Canis lupus familiaris: one gene and its partner. The protein of the gene in region 2 interacts with the protein of the main gene of each other region in a biochemical or structural test. Links are inferred from orthologs where the notes say so. Each region holds a gene or a part of one and is shown on either strand. Other genes may lie near its edges. The genes, in order: MAP3K2 and XIAP.

Region 1 (12,394 bases), on a different chromosome or scaffold from region 2:
GTAATGTCTAAGATGATGTACATCTGGCCCATATATGCCTATGCTTGGCATATGTGTAATTCATTTTAAGACTGATGAACTATTATTAATTTAGTAAAATGATTTCAGTGACAACCTATACTTTGAAGAGATAGCTGCCTTTACAAAACCAAGTAAAGTTAATGAGAAACATGAACTAACATCTCTCCTGAATACACCACCTTAGTCTTAAGATTCCTAAATCTATAAGATTACTCATCTCCATTTGTGATGTAAATCAGTTCTAGCCAATTAAACCATTTAATCTTATCTTCAATAATGTGGGTCTCTATTCACACTTAGAATTAATTTTTCTTTTTTTAAAACTATTTTATTTATTTATTCATGAGAGAGACAGAGAGGCAGAGACACAAGCAGAGGGAGAAGCAGGCTCCTGATGTGGGAATCGATCTGGGGACTCCAGGATCACACCCTGAGCCAAAGGCAGACTCTTATCTGCTGAGCCACCCAGGCATGCCTTAATTTTTATTTCTAATTCAGATATTTATTGCCCAAACAGTAATGGAAATCTAAATAAAAGAAAAATCAATCATAATCTCAACATAACACATTTTCAAGTTTCTTGGGTCCTTGTCCAAATACAGATATTTTTAAAATAGCCTCATTACTATTTAAAAGCATTTTATATTCTTTTTCTTACTTCTTCCAACTTTGCTACATAGCCTTCGTGATTTTAATATATTCTCTTGGGCAATGCCATCATAATTTACTTTCACTGTGAGTACTGATATTTCCATCACAAATTTGTTTTCCAAAGGTACTTAAAAAACAAACTAATTTACTTTGTCAACAGGATCTTTGAAAATACAAAGTAGCAGTGATGTGTAACTATAAACAATTGTGTCACTATAAAAAATTAATTAATTATTCATGATAATAAGAAAGTAAACTTAACTGTTGATCTTATGAAACTGGATGATTAAGACTATGACTATCAGATACTGATCCATAGTTTTACAGATCCATAGCTTAAACTGCAACCTTGTACATGAAACATACAATTCTAATAAACAATCTACTTAGGGAAACCTGCGTGGCTCAGCGGTTAGCCTGCTTCTCCCTCTGCCTATGTCTCTGCCTCTCTCTCTCTTTGTACCGCTCATAAATAAATAAAATCTTTTAAAAAAATCTACTTAAAGACCCATAAATCAAATCAGGTAATATACCATATATACTACCAATTAAATTATACGAATGCATGTATTTTTAAATGAGTAAATATACCACCATCTTGAAAATCATTAATACTAAAATGTACTCTACAAATACTAAAAACAACATAGAAGGAATGACAGTTTGCAAGTCACATTTTGCAGCTCCTACCGAAACTACTGACTCAGGCAATGATTACCAATCTGTATTAAAAACCTGGAAAAGGATGGTTTGAAAAGGAACTGGAAACTGTGTTCTTTTTATTCTTTAAAGATTTATTTATTTGAGAGAGAGAGAGAGAGAGCACGTGAGTATGTGAGTTGGGGGAGGAGCAGACGGAGAGAATCTTCAAGCAGACTGCCCACTGAGCATGGAGCTGAATGTAGGGTGCAGGGTTTAATCTCACAAGCCCTGAGATCATGATGTCAGCTGAAACCAAGAGTTGGACACTTAACCGACTGAAATACCCAGGCACCCCAGGAACTAGATAGTCTTATGTGCTAATAGCCCAGATTACTTTCTGGTCCTCAGGAATAAACAAAACCTTACATTGGAGAAATCTGGATGTTGATCATCCTAACCTAGCACTCAATCTTTGCATCACTAACAGTAGAACCATTAGAAATTGTATGTCTCCTAATGCGATGCAACACGAGATGCACAGCATCATTAGAATGCATCACAGATGCACCTAATAAAAAATGCTGAATCTTAATCTAATTTAGATATTAGATCTAACTTGGAGTTTATAGGAAATAAGAGAATAAAGGAACAAATTAAACACTACCATGAGGATGCAATTAGAGAAATCTATGAGAGGAGATTGTCAACAGAACTAGCCCAGTCTCTTTGTCAAACCTATGTCATGTAAAAAATGTTCTAAGTTAAAAGAGAAGTAAGAGGCATAACAGTTAAAGGTAATGTGTGGTCCTGGGCTGGATCCTGGTTTGGATAAACCAGCTATTACGGTTATTTTAAGAGCATTTAGGGAAATCTGAGTATGGACTGCTATGGTACCTATAACTTTAGTATACCTCAGCTTTTTTTTTTTTTAAATGAGTTAAGAACTACAAAATGAAGATACAAAAAAAAATTATATTACATAGCTCTAATTTAAAACTTTCAAAATGTCTTTAAAGTCCTTAACTACTTTACATTTTATAATCAGAGTTCTGTTGTTTTTCTTTCCTCAACTAAGACTTTAAAGAGAAAATGTCTATTTTTAAAGGACATAACAACTTACCCCTGGCATATATTCCATAAATATGGAAAGTGTTTTTTCCTGGGGATCCCTCAAACAGCCATAATACTGAACAATTCGCTCATGCAGCAAGTTTTTCAACAACTGAATTTCACACTCAAGTGCATTTACTTCCTGAAAGACAGAACTCACTGTTAAGTCTTTATAGCATTGCTAGTTAAAAGGAAAACATTTGAACTTCATGGACCATCGAGGTGATTTCATTCTGAAATTTTTACTTCCCAAGGAATAAACATTTTAAAGTCTCTAAACAGTAACTTTTATAACAGTCCTTGATGGTATACTAAAGCAACCCTAAATTAGATAGGAACATTACGGAGCACTAAAAGAGAAAAAAAAAATCACAGTACAGAGTAAACAAATATATCTAATTATATATGGATTTGTTTTGCAAATAATTTGTATTAAGAAAAAACAAAAATTCTATTGTGTTATATTTAGTAAAAATGCTTTTTATAAATGTGACAAAGTAGCTTGTGCAGTGATTCTTACCTTGCTGGTCTCAGGGCTATCAGGGTCAAACTGAACTTGCTTAACTGCCAATTCTCTTCCTGTATCGACATCATAACAGAGGTAGACCCTGCCAAATGCTCCTTGGCCAAGCAGTTTGCCCAATCTCCAGTTTGTTGGAGCACGAGGTGCTAAAAAAGAATGTTTTCTTAAAATGGAATAGCCAGATGGCACACAAATAGTTACAAACTAAATGAGTAAACTGTATTAATGATATCCTTAACTGAATACACTTGGATATAAGGGAAAATCATAATCATCCAAATTCATAATGATCACCACTTTGTAAATTTTCCAAGAATTCTAAACACAAATAAGGTTCATATATCCCCACATCTTTTTTCCAGTGAGATTATATCTGCTCCCCATTAAAAATGTAAAGCATCTTTCACTGAATCCAAGGTACCACTGATTGTCAGATGCACTATTTTTAATCTTTACTGCAGCAATAATTTTTTGCATTTTTTTCTAATTTCCTTTTTAAAATTTATTTAAATTCAATTTGCCAACATATAGTATAACACCCAGTTGTTTATTGCAGCAATATTTGTAATTAGTTTTCCATCTGCTTACAATGTAGAAAGCTATAAAGAATATCAGTCTCATTCTAACAAGAGAAAATCTTGAAAGCAGCCAGAGGGGAGAATAAAGAATAAATATATACATAAATATATGTACATAAATTTTAAGTAAATGCAGAAGAATAAAGATGAGCATTACATCAGACCTTTCCTCAAAAAGTATACAAAAGCAAACAAAAACAAAAACAAAAAAACAAAACAAACAAACAAAACAATATACAAAAGCCAGAAGATGATAATGGAGCAATAGCTTTAAAGCACTAACAGAAAAAAAAAACAAAAACAAAAAACAAAAACTGCCCAGCATTCTGTACCCAGAAAAAAAAAATCTTTCAGAAATAAAAGGAAAAAAAGGCCTTTTTCAAACAAAAGCTAAAAGAATTCATTACCAGCAGAGTTACATTACAAGAAAGATTAAAAGCAATTCTTTTAAGAATTTGATACCTGAAAGAATCCCAGATCTACATAATCTATAATCTACAAAATCCTGGATCTACAAAATATATATATATATATATATTTTTTTTTTTTTTTCTGCAAAACATTCACTGTGTCAATTTCTATTACTTACAGCGGCTGGGTGGGCTGATGTCCATTACAGTCAAAGTAGGATTGTCTATGTCACTTCCCCTTCTTCTTATTCGACTATCATCATACTCTGGGGTAAAGATACTGCTTCCACTACTAGTGCTTAAAGAGTGATCGGTAGGACTGAAACTCACAGGAGACCGGAAGCTGGTCCCCTGAGTCCTTCTAGCTCTTGGAAAAGTTTTACGACCTACAAAATCAAAACAGAATTACCTTAGGACTTTTATTCATGTTATAATTGAAAGTATTTAAATTTATGACATAAGGTACAGAAGTCTGTCTTGTGACTAGATTTAAGGTTAAGACACTGAAATAGCAATGGTTATTTGATTACATGTTTTAAACTTAAGAGTAATATTTTCTTTTAAAGTTCAAGGGAGGGGATCCCTGGGTGGCTCAGCGGTTTAGTGCCTGCCTTTGGCCCAGGGCGTGATCCTGGAGTCCCGGGATCCAGCCCCGCGTCAGGCTCCCGGCATGAAGCCTGCTTCTCCCTCCTCCTGTGTCTCTGCCTCTCTCTCTCTCTCTTTCTATGTCTATCATAAATAAATAAATCTTTAAAAAAATAATAATAATAAAAAATAAAGTTCAAGGGAATATCCTTTTTAACACTGGATCATGAAGTCAAAAGTGAAAATACAAGGAAGAGGAAAGGTTAAAAAAGCAAAAATGAAGAGTTGATAAAAAAATAGGATCTGAATATAAATTCAAGCAATCTCTTGTTAAAACATGCATACATTCAAAAAAATCATTGTACTCCCTCACTTCTGGATAAGAAGGAGGAAAAAATGTACTTTATTCTCATTTCCAATTATAAGAACAAAAATTGGAAAATTAATAGGTAGCAATTTTTTCCATAAAAGTTTAATGCAAGTATGAATTTCATCATCAAGGAGTAATTTTCTAATTAATATCATTCTTTAATTACACCTTTTCTTTTGAGGGAAAGGTAAGTATTATTAGGTAAGTTGCCCTAACCCTAGGTAACGTAAGTTGCCTTAGGGCAACTTAATAACATCTAATAATAATCTAACCCTAAGATGTAACTACAGTTTTAGTTAGTTAATTCCTTTCGAAAATTGTTTTAAGTAGAAAAGTAAGTGATTTACGAATGAATTTATTTCTACTGGTTTATTTAAGTATGATATTTTTAAATTTTGATTATTTTTGAGATTTTTAACAAGCTGTTCTTGTGGTCTAATTGCCAGAAACTTACCATCATTATAGTCTTGATGGTGATATGAAACATGATACCTTCTTGGGTATGTTCCCCCTTTTCCAAATTTCTCAAAGATAGGGTTATCATAGTCTACTGAGACATAAGAAAGTTATATGTTACAAAAAAGTCAAACATCTCTAATAATAAACACATTTACACATTTTTATTCATTTTTAAAAAAAATTCCCTTCTCCCTCTCAGCAAAGCACTATTTAATGACATATTTAAACATTTAGAATATGGATAGTCTAACCTGAAAATTCCTGATGATTATCTGGATAGCTCTGTGCCCTAGGCATTCGTGATTTTGGATAGCTCTCCCTAAAAATAAAAAAATGTCGTGTTAAATGAGCAAAAAGTATGTAAATACATTTAAAATATCAGTATCTGTATGTATGTGTGGTGGAAATTGTGTGTGTGTGTGTGTGTGTGTGTGTGTGTGTGTGTATGCAATACTAAGAATAAAGGAGGTCTGTCTGAAATGTTAACTGAAAGAAACTTCTTTTCTAACACTTATTTACTGCACAGAGGCAAAAGCCTGGCTTTTAAAAATAACCTATAGGGTATAGCAGTAAAAATGAAAAGTTTGGGAATTACAGATGTTGGCAAATACTGTGTTTCAATTCTAGCTCTACCACTCAACTAGCAGTTGCAACCTTGACATATCACCTTTCTGAGACTATCCATATCTATAAAAACAAGATATTAATTTCCCACTCATCAAGTGTGTGTATATACATAGTGCTCAGGACACTGTCTTTCAAATATTAAGTGCTCAATATATAGCTTTCGCATTACTATTTTCCTGAATTTCTTAAATGTTTCAATTACCTATCTTGACATAGACATGGGCACAAAGGTTTTGTGTGTACAGGTAAATGAAAATTAAATGTGTATTCCTATACAGTATTTGTTATATTTTCAGAATTTGCTTCAAAAAGAAATCCCAGATGAGATCAACTAGGTACACATTTTATGGACTCTGTATGCTACAGGTAAACACTGTCTTTATTGAGACCAGGAAAGAAGAAGCACCTGTAACAAAAAATCCAGTTGCAATTTCATCCAGTTTATATTCCTGAACAGCTATTTCACAAAACGTAAGTATTAAATTTTAAATGACAGCCAACATACTGGGCCACAATTACCAAGAAAAATAAGTTATCTATAAGTTAGTGCTAAAATGAACATAATCCTGAACAGGTGAAACAACTCAAGAAACCTCCAAAACTAAATGCATTTTTTTAAAAAGATTTTATTTATTTTTCATGAGAGACACTGAAAGGCAGAGATATAGGCAAAGGCAGAAGCAGGCTCCCTGTGGGGAGACTGCTGTGGGACTGAATCCCAGGACCCAGGGATCATAATCTGAGCCAAAGGCAGACACTCAACCACTGAGCCACCCAGGTGCCCCTAAATGTATTTTTTTTTTAATTTTATCTATTTGAGAGAGAAAGAGAACATGCACGCGCGCGTGCATGCACACACACACACACACACACACACGTCTGCAGGTGGTGGGGTAGGGCAGGGGTAGGGCAGGTAGGGAGAGGGAGTCCAAGCTGACTTCCCTCTGAGCACGGAGCCTGACATTGAGGTCAATCTCACAACCCTGACATCAGATCTGAGCTGAAATCAGAGTTAGAAGCTCAACCAACTGCACCACTCAGGCACCCCACCAACAGAGTTTTAAAAGTAAATACACATAAATTCTAAGTTTGCATTTAGCTTCAAACACACAATTTTGGTAAACAGAAATACTCATTATAATCAGATATCATTTTACCTGATAAAGATACTGAGCTCCAAGAGGTTAAGGGATTTGTCCAAACTGTGAAAAAATTCATTTGCCCTAAGTAATGAGTATCAATTACACTCTTCTAACATAATATATATACATGCATTTATGCACATATACTAAAAAATAAAAACTATAATCAATATTACCCATCCAAAGGACTATCAAGTGATGGACAACTTCCTGAGCCAGAATTTTCAGGGCTGCTTAAAGACAATGGATCCAGCATCTAGAAAAACAAAGAGTTCCTCCATGATTCAATGTGATATAACAAGCAGTTACTGGGTTTTTTTAAATAGCTTTATTGAGATATAATTCATATAACATAAAATTCACCCATTTAAAGTGTACAATTTAGTGGTTTACAGTATATTGAGAGTTGTGGAACCCTTACCACTATCTGAGAACACTTTCAGTACCCAAAAGAAGACCCCATATCCAATAGCAGTCACCTCCTCCCAGAGTTATTCATTTTTTAATGTTTTAAATGTAGTGGTCCCTTTTGTAGGTAGGCTATGACTTCAAAATCTCCTAAGAGAAAAATATTTTCTCTATGGACTATTAGCTAAATAATTAAAAGCTAAAAGATTTCACATAGTTTTGCTTACTGAACACTGAACAACAGCCCCACTCAAACTGAGAATGACACCATGACTACCATATTGCTAAAACATTTAAAGATATTTTACAAAGTAGACAAACCTAAGCTTCACATAGTTAAATATCTGCAGTTTTATTGTATCTTTCTAATGTTAATTAAAAATCTGAATGTTAATCCCATGATTACAAACAAATGCATTTAATGAGCAAAATAAGAAAACCAGCCTTATTCCAGCTTTGTTTCTACATGAATACACAGAGGCACATGTAAGTGAGTTAGCATTTTCCTATGTTTTTTACTATTCTGTTCACTTAAGAAGGAAGATACGGACAGGATGGGAGGAAGAGGACACACGGGGACACGGACACACACACACACACACACACACACACACAAGACACCAGACAAACCACACAAATCCTATGACATCCTTTTAAATGAAATGAAAAATGACATCCAACTTTTGCTTACTTGGTCCATGCTCTCTGGAATGAACTCTCCTTCACTGTTGATACTGGTGAATGACCCATTCCGGGCAACTTGGTGTAATTCATCTGGAATGTATCCCGGGGGAGGGGAGCTTCTATCTCTACTAGTGGGACCTCAAAGGAAAAAAAATTATACAATTTTATAAATATCATTTGGGAACTAATTTTTGTTTCAATTAAATATATACACAGGATTTCTGGACCATAATACCAATAATTTCAGCTATTGAAATCCAGTTTTTATTAAAAGTTATCAGAACATTCATTTCTAAAAAAAAAAAAAAAAGAACATTCATTTCTATAAATCTTCAAATGTATTTATACCTTTCTAAACTCCCAACCCTACTATAATTATTAACTTCACTGCAATATTTATTTATACTTACTAGGTAGTATGTTCCTCTAACTGCTGACAATGGCATTATGGGGCTGATACTATAATAAAGATTTTTAGATGCCACCACTTCTGAACTTCCAAGGGTCACTTTTACTTAGATATGTTACCCTTTAACAGAACATATGGAAGGCATCATAATGTAGTGGAAAGAATGTGGACTTTAGACCTGTTTAAATCTCAGTTCTAGTTATTTACCAACTGTATGTCTTTGGTTAAGTTACCCAATCCCCACAAACCCATTTCCTCATCTGTCAACATAAGACTAAACCCCTTCTCTTGTAGAGAACAAGCTTATGGTTGCCAGTGGGGAGGTGGATGTGGGGATGGATGAAACAGGTAAGGGGAATTAAGAGTACACTTATCTTGATGACTACCGAGAAATGTACAGAATTACTGAATCACTAAATTGTACACCTGAATCTAACATAACACTGTATGTTAATTATACTTGAATTTAAAAAATAGATTTAAAAATACATAAAGCCAGCACTCAGGGTAAACAAAGACTAAATCCTTCCTTTCCAAGGGCACTGTGATAGTAAAATTGTTCATACTGAACATATGCTATGACCATTTGGCTCCATCATGCTCTTTCCATTCCCTCTCCTTAACCTTTAGAAACCTAAAGTGAGATTACTGCTTAAATCACTTTTAAAAGGTCATATTAGAGTGTTTCCAAATTGGAATTCTGAATTTTATTCTTAGGTACTTTAAAATTAGATTTTATGACAAGCCAGATTCCTGGCATTTAAATTTCTTTACAGTTCAAAAAATCTAATATAGTTCATCTAACTAATCCCATTGTTTCTTATGAAACAATAATCCACTGTATTTTTAACCTGGCTTTATAGAAATAATGTTATGTTTATTAACACAGGTCTCTCCTTTTCTCTCAATATTTTGAAATTAAACAATTTTAAAAAAAGACATGGGGAAGTTATGTGAGCATTTAAGTTTGGGTCAGATTTAAAGCAAAAAGGCAAAAAAAAAACAAAAACAAAAACAAAAAACAAAATAAAGCAAAAAGGCTCTGCTTATAAAAAAGAAGTTGCTATAGGTATATGCCAGCATTTGTTAGTGGGGAGATAGGGAAAAAGAGAACAAAATAATTACCAAGAGATATGCACAGAAAAGATCAACTTTCTACTTGACTCTGAAATAATTAAGAACTCAGCTTCAGGCCAGGGGTTTACTTAAGCTTTGTAACAGCTATAATCACACTGTCCTAAGCATTTTCATTCCTTCCATATACCCTTCTTTATAAAAGAAGATCAATATACTCATTACTAAAAGGAGATAGGGAAGAAAAACTGCTATAAAGTTTCTTCAAAATCTGTTTACTTGATAACACATTTTTCTTTTATTTTAACTAAAGTCTAGTTGACACACAATGTTGTAACAGTTGCAGGTATACAACATAGTGATCTGACAATTCTAATGCTCACCACTGTTAAGTGTAATTGGCATCATCATATGTTATTACAATATTACTGACTATATTCCCTACACTGTGCTTTTCATCTCTGTGCCTTATTATTTTATAACTGGAAGTTTGTGCCTCTTAATCCCCTTCACTTATTTTGTCCAAACCCCCAATCCCCTGACAACCACCAATTTGTTCTCTGTATCTTTCTGGTTTTTGGCTTGTTTATTCATTTGTTTTGTTTTTCAGATTCTACATATAAGTGAAATTGTATGGCATCTGTCTTTGTCTGACTTATTTCACTTAGCATAATACCTTCTAGGTCCACCCGTGTTGCCGCAAACGGAATGATCTTATTCTTTTTTATGGCTCAGTAATATAGCATTGTGTATATATTCCACATCTTCTTTATTCATTTATCCACAGACACTTATGTTGCATCATACCTTGGCTATTGCAAATAATGCTATAACAAACATAAAGATGTATTTATCTTTTCAAATTAGCTTTTCTTTGAATTTCTTCATATTTCATTTTCTTTACCAAAAGACACAAGATGCTCAACATCATTCCTCATCAGGAAAATGTAAATCAAACCACGATGAGATATCATCTCCTACCTATCAGAATGGATAAATCAACAGCACAAGAAACAATAGCTGGAGAAAAAGGATGTAGAGAAAAAAGAACCTTCACGGGACAGTTGGATGCTCAGCGGTTGAGCGTCTGCCTTTGGCTCAGGGCGTGATCCTGGAGTCCCAGAATCAAGTCCTGCATCAGGCTTACTGAATGGAGCCTGCTTCTTCCTCTTCCTCTGTGTGTGTGTGTGTGTGTGTGTGTGTGTGTGTCTCATGAATGAATGAATGAATGAATGAATGAATAAATAAATAAATAAATAATCTTTTAAAAAAAAGATAAAGAACCTTCATGAACAGTTGGTGGCAATGTAAATTGGTGTAACCACTGTGGAAAACAGTATGGAGGTTCCTCAAAAAATCAGAAATTGAACTACCATATGACCACATAATTCCACTACTGAGTATTTATACCCAAAGATAACCCATTTTTCTTAACTTTTGTTGGTAACAGGTATGCCAATGCTACTGGTTGAGACCTCCACACCACAGCCTACACTCCTATTAAAATAATAAAAAGATAATAATAAAGAAAATAATTAAAAAGATAACTGTCAATAAATATGGAAAAAAGATGATGGGTCATATCTATCAAAGCCATTCCAAGTGTAAAGTGCCAATAAAAGACCAACAGTTTTCTACTACATTACAATTTCTAGTTTCTTCTTATGCTAGCACTGAACTCAACCTGGAATATTTGCTAGCAGGACAAGAGTGAGGTATTCAGTATAGTTTTAATTCAAAATGAATTTAAAATGTCAGTTTAACTAATGCATTCGGCTTGTTCTAATGCAGCTACAGTGAACTGACAATTTTTTACTTTAAAATGATAGATACTAGGGCAGCCTGGGTGGCTCAGCAGTTTAGCGTCGCCTTCAGCTCAGGGCATGATCCTGGGAACCTGGGATCGAGTCCCACATCAGGCTCCTTGCATGGAGCCTGCTTCTCCCTCTGCCTGTGTCTCTGCCTCTCTCTCTGTCCCGCATGAATGGATAAATAAAACCTTAAAAAAAAATGATAGATACTATAACATGATGAGGCAATGAAGAAAGAAGTGTATGTTTATTTTTTTTAAAGATTTTATTTATTTATTCATGAGAGACAGAGAGAGGGGGTGGAGGGAGAGGCAGAGACATAGGCAGAGAGAGAAGCAGGCTCCATGCAGGAAGTCCGATGTGAGACTCGATCCCAGGACTCCAGGATGGTGCCCTGAGCCAAAAGCAGACGCTCAACCACTGAACCACCCAGGCATCCCAGAAATGTTGTTTAATAACAGTCATGTTTTCTAGTTTGAAAAGCAAAATGTTCTTTAAAAGTATTCTTTCAATTTATTATCACAAGAATCCCACAATTTAAAGATAAGAACAAAGTTACTAGTCTCAAGTTAGAGAGCTGGAATTTGAATTCAGGTCTCCCTAATGTTCTTTCACCAAAATTCTAAACTATACTAAAATATATCTGAATGAAGATAAGCAATTTCTATTTTACTCGTATATCTCTGCTGCTCACATTTCCAGCATTTCTGAAACCAAAAGTAACACCTATGTAAGATATACACTTAGAAGGATGTAGTCATAAAATAGCTTCTTATGAGGGCCAAAACAGAAGATGAAGAACAGATTTGGGGGTGGGGGGGTCCAACACACCAATTTAATCTTTTCTTTTGTTATTAAACAATCCTCTTTTATTCCAGTCTTAGATTCCC
Region 2 (12,394 bases):
AGATTAATTGCTCTAAAGGCTGAAGAAATAGTGCAAGATTAGGTAAAACCAGTAAGAAAAAGTTAAGCACTTCAAAACCCAGAACTTTTTTTTTTTTTAATTTATTTATTTATGATAGTCACAGAGAGAGAGAGAGAGAGGCAGAGACAGAGGCAGAGGGAGAAGCAGGCTCCATGCACCGGGAGCCCGATGTGGGAATTGATCCCGGGTCTCCAGGATCGCGCCCTGGGCCAAAGGCAGGCGCTAAACCACTGCGCCACCCAGGGATCCCCAGAACTTTTTTTCAAATCAGTTGTATTCACAACTAACCTAAGTATGTAAAGAGTGGATGTCTTTCTCAAGTCACTAGCAATTATTCTGGAAAAATCACAGGAAATAGGGGGAAGTCCCAGTCTCTGACCCTGAATGTGTGAGTTTCCCATCTCTGAGACTTAGTTTCTGCAGCCCAGGGGAGTGACAATAAAATGAATAGAAACTCACTTTAATGGTACTCAAAGTAGAAATACAGGTTATGTAGGGAACTGATAAAGAGGAGACTTACATTCTCTGATTCATCAATTCTATTCTCAAGTATCAAAAATAAGGACAAAGGTTCATCAAAAACATGCACAAGAATATTCACAGCAGTGTCATGTATAACAGCCTCAAATAGGAAATAACTCAAACATCTATCACCAGGGGAATGGATAAGTAAATTGGGATATTGAAACACTACAGAGCAAGCAGAAAAACGAACTATTGCCACAGAAACATAGATAAGTCTCACAGATCTGATGAACAAAATGTCATCGTAATGATGGACCAGAGACAAAAGAATACACTGTATGATTACATTTCTAAGATGTTCAAATCTAATCTATGGTTAGTCAGAACATAAATCAGGGACAGATATTGATTGGGAAAAGGGCCTGAAGGAGTTTCTGGCCTGGCAGAAATGTTATTTTTTTAAAAAGATTTTATTTATTTATTTGAAAGAGAGAGAGAGAGAGAGAAAGCACACTAGCAGAGGAGGGGCAAAGGGAGAATCAGACTCCCAGCTGAGCAGGGAGGGGGTGGGGCTCAATCCCAGGATCATGACAGGAGTTGAAGGCAGACGCTTGGCCAACTGAGCCACCCAGATGCCCCTGTTCTATATCTTGATTTGGCTGATGACTACACAAATAAATGCATGTAAAAATTCATTGAGTTGAATACTTAAGTCTATTTTAAGCATTTTATTGTATATGTATTATACTTCAATAATTTTTTTTAAAAAGAGGAGCTGGAAAGGGATTTGATTATAAGAAATATTACATAGTAAGTAACAAAAGTAGGAAAGTACCTTAAGATTTTTTTTTAAATTTATTTATTTATGATAGTCACACAGAGAGAGAGAGAGAGAGAGAGAGAGAGAGAGAGGCAGAGACACAGGCAGAGGGAGAAGCAGGCTCCATGCACCGGGAGCCCAATGTGGGACTTGATCCCGGGTCTCCAGGATCACGCCCTGGGCCAAAGGCAGGCGCCAAACCGCTGCACCACCCAGGGATCCCAAGATTTCTGTTTGATAAAGAGAACACTGTTGTATGGTTATAATACAGATAAAAGACCATTTATGAGACTACTAAAGAATCTGAATGAGAAATAAGGGCAGAAAGTAGGGCAGAACCAGTGGATTTTAGACAATATTAAAAAGGCTGAATTCATCAGACCTGGTGGTTAATTAAATGTAGAGGGATTAAGGAAAGCAAAGAGCTTAAAATGGCTCAAATTACTGGGCGACCTTGTGAACTATTAAACTATTAACGAATGTTGGGGGGGGGGGCGTGCAAAGAACAAGCCTGGATTCAGTCTGAGTGATTTTTAGAAATGCTGAATTTGAGCTGCTTTTAAGATTTCCAGGTGGAGATGTCCAGAGGTCAGCTGGACATCACTCTTTCGTGGTTCTACTTGTTTTTTTTCCCAGCTTGTTTTGCTGGCTCCTTCTGCTCACCTGATTAGACACTGGTGGTTCCCTTCCATTACCTCAATGATCCCCTTTTTAACAATCTCTCTGGATACTTGCCCCACTACCACAATTTTACCCTTATTTATGAGTTCCAGGTTTTAAGACCCACCTACTTGGATACCCTGCAGGTATCTCAAGCTTACTTTGCTGAAAATCAAAAGCATGGGCAACAGGATATCCATATAAAAAATAATTAGAAGGGCCCCCACTTTACACACATACAAAAATGAACTTGAAATGGATCAAAGACCTGAATGTAAGAGATAAAACCATAAAACTTGGGGTGCCTGGGTGGCTCAGTTGGGTAAGCACCTGCCTTTGGCTCAGGTCATGATCTTAGGGTCCTGGGATCAGGCCCCACAATTGGCTCCATGTTTGGCAGGGAGCCTGTGTCTCACTCTCCCTCTGCCTGCTCCCACTGTCTGTTCTCTCGCTATCTCCCTGTCAAATAAATAAAACTTTTTTAAAAAGATTAAAAAGTAATAAAATTATTAGAAGAAAACATAGATGACCTTGGATTAGGCAATGGTTTCTTAGATATAGCCCTGAAAGAATAAGCAACAAAAAATAAGATAAATTGGATTTCATCAAAATTAAAAATTTATATACTTCAAAGTATATCAGCAAGAAAGTGAAAAGAACGAGTGAAAATATTTACAAATCATATATCCGACAAGGTACGTAACTGTAAAAATATTAGAATATATAAAAAACACTTACAACTCAATAACAAAAAAATGAATAACCCAACTAAAAAACGGGGAAAGGCGATGAAGAGACATTTCTCCAAAGACATACAAATGGCCAATAAGCACATGAAAGGATGCCCGACATCATTAACCATCAGGGAAATGCAAATCAAAACCACAATAGGATACCACTTCACATCCACTAGGATGGCTATAAAAAAAAAACATACAAGGGGTGCCTACGTGGCTCAGTTGGCTGAGCATCTGCCTTAGGCTCAGGTCATGATCCCGGGGTCCTGGAATTGAGCCCCGCCATTGGGCTCCCTGCTCAGCCAGGAGCCTGCTTCTCCCTCTCCCTCTGCATGCGCACTCTCTCTCAAATAAAGAAATAAAATTTTTAAAAAACATATACAATAACAAGTGTTAACAAGGATATGGAAAAACAAACTGGAATCCTTATATACTGCTAGTGGGAACGTAAAATAGTACAGCCGCATTGGAAAACTGGCCATTTATCAAAAGTTAAATGTAGAGTTACTACATGACCCAGCAATTCCATGCTGAAATATATACTCAGGCAAATTAAAAACCTATGTCCACGCAAAAATTTGCACACAAATGTTCATAGCAGCATCAATATCATTCATAAGAGCCAAAAACTGGAGACCCAAATGTCTACCAACTGATGAGTAGATAAACAGAACATGGTATTATCTACACTAAGGAAACTTTTTCTACCATAAAAAAAGAATGAAGTAATCATGTATAAGTACCACAACATGGATGAACTTCAAAGCCACATATTATGATTCCATTCATATGAAATGTCTAGAATAGGTACATCCAGAGAGATAGAAGTAGATGAGTAGTTGTCTGGAGGCTGAGGGGGAAGGGGCAGCAATGGGGAGTGGCTGCTAATGGATACAGGGTTTCTTTTTTGGGATTATAATAATGTTCTGGAATTAAATGGCAGTGATGGTTTGTTCCACAACCTTGTGAATTTACTAAAAACCACTAAAATGTACAGTTTATAAGGGTGAAATTTTTGCTACATGAATTACACATCTCAATTTTATTTTATTATTGTTTCTTTTCATATCTCAATTTTTTTAAAGACTTATTTATTTATTCATGAGAGAACGGGGTGGGGGTGGGGGGGAGACACAGGCAGAGGGAGAAGCAGGTTTCCTGCAGGGAGCCCAATGTGGACTCAATCCCGGAACCCAGGATCATGCCCTGAGCTGAAGGCAAATGCTCAACCACTGAGTAACCCAGGCATCCCAATAAATGATTTCTTAAACTTTATTATTTATGCCCATTTCAAAATCTGTATCAAATATTATCAAAGTGGCTCTCCTTCTTAAGTATATTTATGAATACTTATAGTTTTCTCTTGTCTTGTAACCCTTAAGATACCAAAAAGATGATGGTATAAGGAATGGGGAATCAGCAGACATATTCTAAATTACACTTTCTACTATTTTTGAAACATGATGCCTAAGCTGGAAATGAGATCCACAGTGTGATGCAGATTTCAGAAGACCCCGTTAATAGTCCCAGTTCCACTAATGATTTGTAAATGTAACTGTGGGCGGGTCACTTAACCTCCTGGTCTCTGTTTCAGCATCTGAAAAGTGGAGATAACAATATCATCTTTGCTTAACATAGTATCTTTCTGGATTTTTAAAAAAAAGATTTTATTTACTTATTCATGAGAGACACAGAGAGAAGGCAGAGACATAGGCAGAGGGAGAAGCAGGCTCCATGCAAAGAGCCCGATGTGGGACTCCATCCCGGAACTCCGGGATCACACCCTGAGCTGAAGGCAGATGCTCAACCGCTGAGCCACCCAGGCATCCTGGTATCTTTCTGGCTTTTAAAGATGTTTATGATGAGTAAATAATCTTTGGGATAAAAATCTCTACCTTTCTATAAGGTAAGAGAAGATAAACTGAACCATGCCCCTCTGTGAAGAAACTGGGGGAGGCTCAAGAATGGCATGGGATAAGGAAGCAGGTAGGGCCGACCATGGTGATGGCACATTAGTACAGCACTGGATTCATGGTCCTGGCTAACTCAAGAAGTACCTGGGACAAAAATACACTTATCTCTCTTCCTTTGGGGATTTTAACAGAAATGGCAATGGACAGCCTATAGCTGCTCCTCCTAAGCTTGGAAAAGCTAACTGCACAACCGCCATAGGAATGTCCTTTCTTAAAATTTTATTTTTACTTTACTATAATTAGTATCATTTTATGTAATGTATATAATTATATAACTTATAATATAATTTAGTATAATTTAAATTTTTCCAGTACAATTAATGTACAGTGTTACATGAGTCACATGAATGTTCTTACTATATAAATATCTGACTTAAAAATTTTTTTAAAGATTTTATTTATTTATTCATGAGAGACACAGAGAGAGAGAAGAGAGACAGAGGCAGAGACACAGGCAGAGGGAGAAGCAGGCTCCATGCAGGGAGCCTGAAATGGGACTCGATCCTGGGTCTCCAGGATCACGCCCTGGGCTGAAGGCCGTGCTAAACCACTGAGCCACCTGGGCTGCCCTGACTTAAAATTTTTAAAAAGATTTTATTTATTTATTCATGAGAGACAGAGAAAGGGGCAGAGACATAGGCAGAGGGAGAAGCAGGTTCCCTGTAGGGAGCCTAATGTGGGACTCGATCCCAGGACCCTGGGATCATTACCTGAGCCAAAGGCAGATGGCTCAACCACTGAGCCACCCAGCTACCTATAACTGACTTAAATTTATAGGCACTTCCTAATCCTTAAATTTATAGCAATCTCATCTCAAATAAATCTACTTTGATTATCTTGAAAAAATAAGCTTATGTCTCTACCCTATAAAAAAACAACTGTAATAAACTGCTAATGAAATTAAAAGTATATTTATTTTAATGTACATACTTACCAATTCTTTCAGTTAATGACCGTGTTCTTTCAGCAGTTCTTAGCTGAAATAGAAATATGGACTATAAGTTAGAATTCTTTTTGGTAGAAGATGATTACCTCAATTTGAAAAGTTACACTAATCATGAATTTATAAATTGGCTTTATTCCAATTCAACATATGAATGTTTGCAAGAGGCATAACCTGATGAAGCTAGAAGGAAGGTTTTTTTTTTTTAAGATTTTTAAAATTTATACATGAGACACACAGAAAGAGAGAGAGGCAGAGACACAGGCACAGGGAGAGAAGCAGGCTCCATGCAGGGAGCCTGATGTGGGACTCGATCCCAGGACTCCAGGATCACGCCCTGGGCTGAAGGCAGGTGCTAAACCACCGAGCCACTCAGGGATCCCCACTAGAAGGAAGTTAAAAGATCATCTAACACAATCCACTCACTCTATAGACAGGGCACTGAGTCTCAGGGAGTTTAAACAACTCGATTGAGGCAAGGGAGCTCATGGTAGAGCCATAAATGACAACTCTGGCTTCCCATTCTAGTCCATGGCTCTTCCCACATGGTACCAATACCTTAGCCATCCCAGGCTGCCATCAATTTAGACACGCTTCTGAGATTTAAAATATTGCCTTTGGAAAGTTCACAATTATTTATGAGTATAAAACACATTATACAAAAGTCTAATTTCAGAAAGTTGAGGGATTAAGTATTTTAGTTCTTCAAACCCATTTTTATTTACAGTGAGTTAAATCAATCAGCTTATGGGGATTCCTCTTTCACAAAGCTACTTCAGGTTAAGAAATAACAAGCATTCGGGATCCCTGGGTGGCGCAGCGGTTTGGCGCCTGCCTTTGGCCCAGGGCACGATCCTGGAGACTCAGGATCGAATCCCACGTCGGGCTCCCTGCGTGGAGCCTGCTTCTCCCTCTGCCTGTGTCTCTGCCTCTCTCTCCCTCTCTCTGTGTGACTATCATAAATAAATAAAAAAATTAAAAAAAAAAGAAATAACAAGCATTCTTCAAGATCTCCCCTTTAAAGCCCACCATACATTATTAATTTAAGATACTATACTGTGAATTTTACACCAAGAAATCATTGCAAAACAAATTAAATAATATTTTATATTCTACAATATGTGACTTACCACTGAATGGGTTAAATGAATATTGTTTATATATTCTTGTCCCTTCTCTTCTAACAGATATTTACACCTAAACAATTAAAAGAAGGTTAAACTTTGGTAGCTGATAAATCAGTAAAGTATAAATACAGATATCTCCATTATCTTAATTCCATTAACTTCCTTTTTGGTATTTCTAAGAAGCTGCAAAATGAAATGTTATTTAATCTCTACCAACTGTCATTTCAAAGTTAAAGAAATACGTTCCTTTGTTATACTACTCTTTGGTAATCTTAGGCAAAAAATAACAACTTGAGAACTTCCAACCTTAAACCAAGTTATTAAATTTAAGATTTAATTTTTTAAATAGTTTAATTTTGTTTAGAGGATTAACCAACTACACACTCTGAAGGAACTCCTTAGGCTTTCAACCTTTCCTTTTAAGGCTTTTTAAGCTTAAGATTTATTTTCAAACAATCGCTCTGAAGTTTTAAATTGTACTAGTTTGTAGGTCAAAAATTTTACATCACTTATATGTATGAATATTTTTAAAGAAACAAGATGACAAAGAGACAGAGTATGTTATTATCATTCTAAGATGCCACTGATTATAAGAAGGATGATTATTTTATGTACCACCGCTGCCAATTAAATTATGACCCACCACCAGATGTATCATTTCAAAAATTTGAAAATGTGAACAATTGTGTGTCTTATAATCAGAGAGATACAGTAAAATTTGCTAGGGGATGTGATGGGTTCCAAGGAAAAAATCCTTGGCAACAAGGGCTCTCCCGTGGTCATTGTGAAAGAGCCTACTTCTAACAACAAAACTATATATTCCTAATTAGTGTTTAGAAATAGAATAATTTGAATGTCATATATATAACATATAAGCAATGAATGCTTTGGTCACCAGAGAAGGCTTAGGGCCTTTTTTTTTCTATAAAGTAGGTGACCCCATTTTTATAAACTTGGTGTGAATTGCAAGCCATAGTGAAGGCAAAAATAGTTAGGTGAAAAGTTATTCAAGATTTTCCTGACTGCAAAGTGTCTAACTTGCCTGTTCCTAAATAAACATTTAAATACCTTACCCTGGAAACCACTTAGCATGTTGTTCCCAAGGGTCTTCACTGGGCTTCCAATCAGTTAGTCCTCCTCCACAGTGAAAGCATTTTACTTTATCACCATCCCCTAAGAAGAGACACAAGTAAAAATACATGTATTTGTGCAATTAGAAGCCTATGCAAAAATGCCCCTTTAACACCATGAAATTAACCATTTTAAATTACATGAGAATCTCAGCTTCAAAGACGACATTCAAATTCACATTTAAATAACAGCCATGACTGTTTGAGGAGGGAATACACACTAAATTCACTGATTCAATTTGAGGTATTTTACAGAAGACAAAATAAATTGACCAATTTTTATGTGAAAAATTAAAATTGTTATCATTTGGGTCTACCAATACTACACTTTTTCAAACTGTGAAACTTTAACAATAAGGCTCAGGTTAACAAAATTACAAAGTAAGTTTCTCTAGGGTTATAGCTACATGACACTAAACAAACCTTCAAAATTGCTACAGGATACTATGTGAATAAAATATTGAAATAACTAATATTTTGTATTTTGGCACTACTCAATCCTAAAGCTAATGAGTCAGATATATGATGGTATAACTTTTCTGAATATTCCTGGAAGTCATCACACTAAGGGCCCTTCCTGACAAGTTTACAGTAGTCCATTTGAGAAGTGCTTATTTAAAAAAAAAAAAAAAAAAAAAAAAGAGAAGTGCTTATTTGAAGCAAAAAGGCATACAGGGCAGCTTTCAAATATAAACTCTATGTACAAAAGGCAGGTATCAATTTTAATATCAGCCAAACTAAACTCTCTAATGTTAACTCTTTTTATGAGGTATAGAAAGAATGCATGTGATACATGTACTGAGCACATACAGTAGGTGCTCAATAAATTATAGTTTATATTACTGTCAGACCCATTCTTCTATCTGGGAGATCTATCATCTTTTGCATGTAATCCTTCTCCAAAAAAACAAAGATAAATATAACTCACAATATAGTAGTCCTTTTTCACATAAATGTAGTAGTTACACTGCAAATTCAACATAAAGGTTCACAGATTAATCATGCCAGCCTTTATTTACCAGTTCAGGGGGCTAAAGGAATCCACTTTTTAGGGGGACTGGGATAGTTGGAAAGTTATTTATTAGCCTGGTTTTATAATAAAGTTTACCTAAAGAATAAAATCCAGCTCTTGCAAGTTGCTCCTTGTTAATTGAACACATCCACATCCGAAAAGTAACGATCCGTGCTTCATAATCTGCCATGGCTGGATTTTCTGGAATACTTGTTGAATTTGGGACGTTCCTATCAGTACTCGCAACATCAGATTCACTTCGAATATTAACATTCCGGCCCAGAACAAAGAAGCAATTAGGAAAGTGTCGCCTGTGTTCTGACCATGCATTATCACACGGTTCCCAATTTTTCAGTTTTCCACCACAACAAAAGCACTGCACTTGATCGTCAATACCTGTGTAGTAGAATCCAGCACTAGCTAACTCTCTTGGGGTCAAGTGGACATAGTCTGGCCAGTTCTGAAATGAGTTTAATCTAGCTTCTTCACTATACATGGCAGGGTTCTCCGGGTATGTGGTGTCTGATATATCTACGACCTGTCCAGTTCTCAAAAGATAATCTGCATGAGTCTCAGATGGTCTGTCTAAAACAAAATGATCTCTGTTTCTCAGATAGTTTTCTGCATTATATTGACCATTTTGGATACCTGGATTTGTAGGTTGTGCAGCAGTGTTTTCAAAATAAAAGCCATTGATAAATCTGCAATTTGGGGATACTTTCCTGTGTCTTCCAACTGCTGAGTCTCCATATTGCCATCTATCTATTGATGCATGACAACTAAAGCACCGCACAGTATCTCCTTCACCAGTATACAGAAAACCAGCTCGTGCTAACGTTGATGCTGAAACAGGACTGCTACTTGGAAAATTAGCAAAAGTTTTTAATCTATTAAACTCTTCTACAAATTCTTCATCCTTATTGATGCCTGCAGGTACACAAGTTTTAGCTCCTTCAAAACTGTTAAAAGTCATCTTCTCTTGAAAATAGGACTTGTCCACCTTTTCTGAAAAGAGAACATTACATTAGAAAATTCAAAATCTGAAACACAGGCAATATAATTTTGATATTAGGAGCTAACAAATTACCTGATGACATAAAATTAATTACACAATCTCTAAAAAAAACATTCTAATTCCAAATACTAGAGCTCTGCATTATATGATTCAAGCTTTATAAAGTAAAAACCAGCATTTTCATTTTCTGGAGGAAAGTAATATTCAAGCAGGTAGAATAAAACTGTTCTTTAATTGATTACTTTATGTAAATATGGAAACTGTGATACAGAATATATTAAAATTATTAACCATGTAAAATTATTAATTAGGAAAAACAAAAGCATAAATTATGCAGATTATTAAACTCTATGCATAATTGTTATAATAGATCATTATATATTCAAGCCATCAAAGTTCAGTTTTTCAATTTAAAAAAAATGTTCAGAATGTTAATGAATTAATTTTTATTATTTCTTTACTTTTCTGCTTAGCAAAAGGTATTTGAGTTTTACTCACAACACTGGTTCCAATATGAGCATCGAGTGTTTAAGAGCACTTGAGTGTTTCTGATTTTCATGCATATGAAAATGGGACTCCTGTAGTCCATTTTCTGTGGGAATTGGATCATTTCGGATGTATATATTACTGCCCTCTAGAGGGTAGCTCAGGAAAGATAGTAAGTATGTATAGACCTTAATTGCAGTAAGTTTTGCTATCAACTTCCCATGGTCGAAAAATGATCTGTTCAAATGGAAGAGAAGTACTACTGCAGCCTCATTAAAATTGCCACATTATAGCTGTGTAACATATAACCGAAATAAAATACTAAAGGAACTAGGTGGGTTATGAGAAGGGTGGCCAGATAATTTATCCTCCAAACCTGGACACTTTGGAAAGTGAAAAATGATGCTACTAATAATTACACTAGGACAACAGGGATAAATCAGGGTTGCCCCAGGCAAACCTGATTCTCTAGAATCTCGCACTATTCCTAATACTGTGTGTGCTCAGTATATGTTTGGCAAAAAAAAAAAAAAGAAAAAGAATGGTCATGATAATTCTGCCTCTACTTCATATGTCAATTAATTGATTTCTTGGGAAGAATTAGCAGCCCTGGCATTATGTTAGCACAATATGTCTTGGAACATCATTTCAGTGTAATAATGTTCAACACAAGTCTTGCAGGGTGGCAATAAACTTCAGTCTTTCCTGGTCTTGTCAATTTACAATGGTAGTAATTCATATATACCGCAAGAGCAGAGATATATCTGCATAGAACTATTTTTGGAAGATAGTCTCCATGACTTTTCATTATTGTTTCCCAGATGTCTGAAAACATTTTGACACTAGCTTCAAGACCCCTTGTTCAATGAGCATAAACTGGATGATAATAACCAAGGCTGTCTCATAGGCTGAGATGAAATTTAATAGGGATATTAAACATTACATTCTGACTTTAGAAACCTGTGGCACAACTAAAGGAAAATGGAAACTTGGTTTGGAAAGAAGTCATGTGAAGCCAAACCTCTAGATTAAAATCTTGGGGGATCCCTGGGTGGCGCAGCGGTTTGGCGCCTGCCTTTGGCCCAGGGCGCGATCCTGGAGACCCGGGATCGAATCCCACATCGGGCTCCCGGTGCATGGAGCCTGCTTCTCCCTCTGCCTGTGTCTCTGCGCCTCTCTCTCTCTCTCTGTGACTATCATAAATAAATAAAAATTTAAAAAAAAAATAAAAAAAATAAAATCTTGGGATTTTAGTTAATTAAAAATTCCATTATGAGGGGTGTCTGGCTGGCTCAGTTGGTAAAGCATGAGACTCTTGATCTTGGGGTCGTGAGTTCAAGCCCCATGTTCAGCACAGAGCTTACTTAAAAAAATTCATGGAGTGCCTGGGTGGCTCAGTCGGTTGAGCATCTGCCTTCAGCTCAGGTCATGATCCCAGGGTCCTGGGATTGAGCCCTGCTTTGTGCTTCCTGCTCTGCTGGGAGTTTGCTTCTCCCTCTGCCCCTTCCTTCCTCCACCCACCGGTGATCTCTCTCTCTCTCAAATAAATAAATAAAAATTTTTTAAAAAATTCATTATGGGGGATCCCCAGGTGGCGCAGCAGTTTAGTGCCTGCCTTTGGCTCAGGGCGCGATCCTGGAGACCTGGGATCGAATCCCACGTCGGGCTCCCAGTGCATGGAGCCTGCTTCTCCCTCTGCCTATGTCTCTGCCTCTCTCTCTTTCTCTGTGTAACTATCATAAATTAAAAAAAAAATTCATTATGAGCCAACATTACATGGCTACTAAAAAAGAAACTTAAAGCAACTCCAGGCTGCATTAATGTCCAGATGTACAAGGCCCAGATCCAATTCAGTTACACATTGAATATTATCTTCAGTACTGAAAACACTTCAGAAAGAACATTAACAAAGCATCCTATCTATAGAGAGCAATCCGGGATGACGAAAATGGTGTCCAATGAGGAACAGGTAGAAGAGCTGAGTGTTTATCTCAAAGGGAAAAAA

The links.
Region 1: of the proteins of XIAP (region 2) and MAP3K2, one has a biochemical effect on the other in vitro, tested with the Homo sapiens proteins (2 studies listed by BioGRID, with this or other methods). The link is inferred for Canis lupus familiaris from reciprocal best matches to the Homo sapiens genes XIAP and MAP3K2.

The regions. Positions count from the first base shown.
Region 1 is NC_049240.1:24,624,183-24,636,576, reverse strand, and holds part of MAP3K2 (mitogen-activated protein kinase kinase kinase 2), read right to left. Parts: intron 8,349-12,394; coding exon 8,218-8,348; intron 7,375-8,217; coding exon 7,295-7,374; intron 5,669-7,294; coding exon 5,601-5,668; intron 5,441-5,600; coding exon 5,345-5,440; intron 4,322-5,344; coding exon 4,115-4,321; intron 3,094-4,114; coding exon 2,945-3,093; intron 2,567-2,944; coding exon 2,435-2,566; intron 1-2,434. UniProt on the Homo sapiens protein: Component of a protein kinase signal transduction cascade. Regulates the JNK and ERK5 pathways by phosphorylating and activating MAP2K5 and MAP2K7. Plays a role in caveolae kiss-and-run dynamics.
Region 2 is NC_049260.1:96,091,288-96,103,681, reverse strand, and holds the start of XIAP (E3 ubiquitin-protein ligase XIAP), read right to left. Parts: upstream 9,870-12,394; 5' UTR 9,862-9,869; coding exon 8,985-9,861; intron 7,920-8,984; coding exon 7,820-7,919; intron 6,817-7,819; coding exon 6,750-6,816; intron 5,654-6,749; coding exon 5,611-5,653; intron 1-5,610.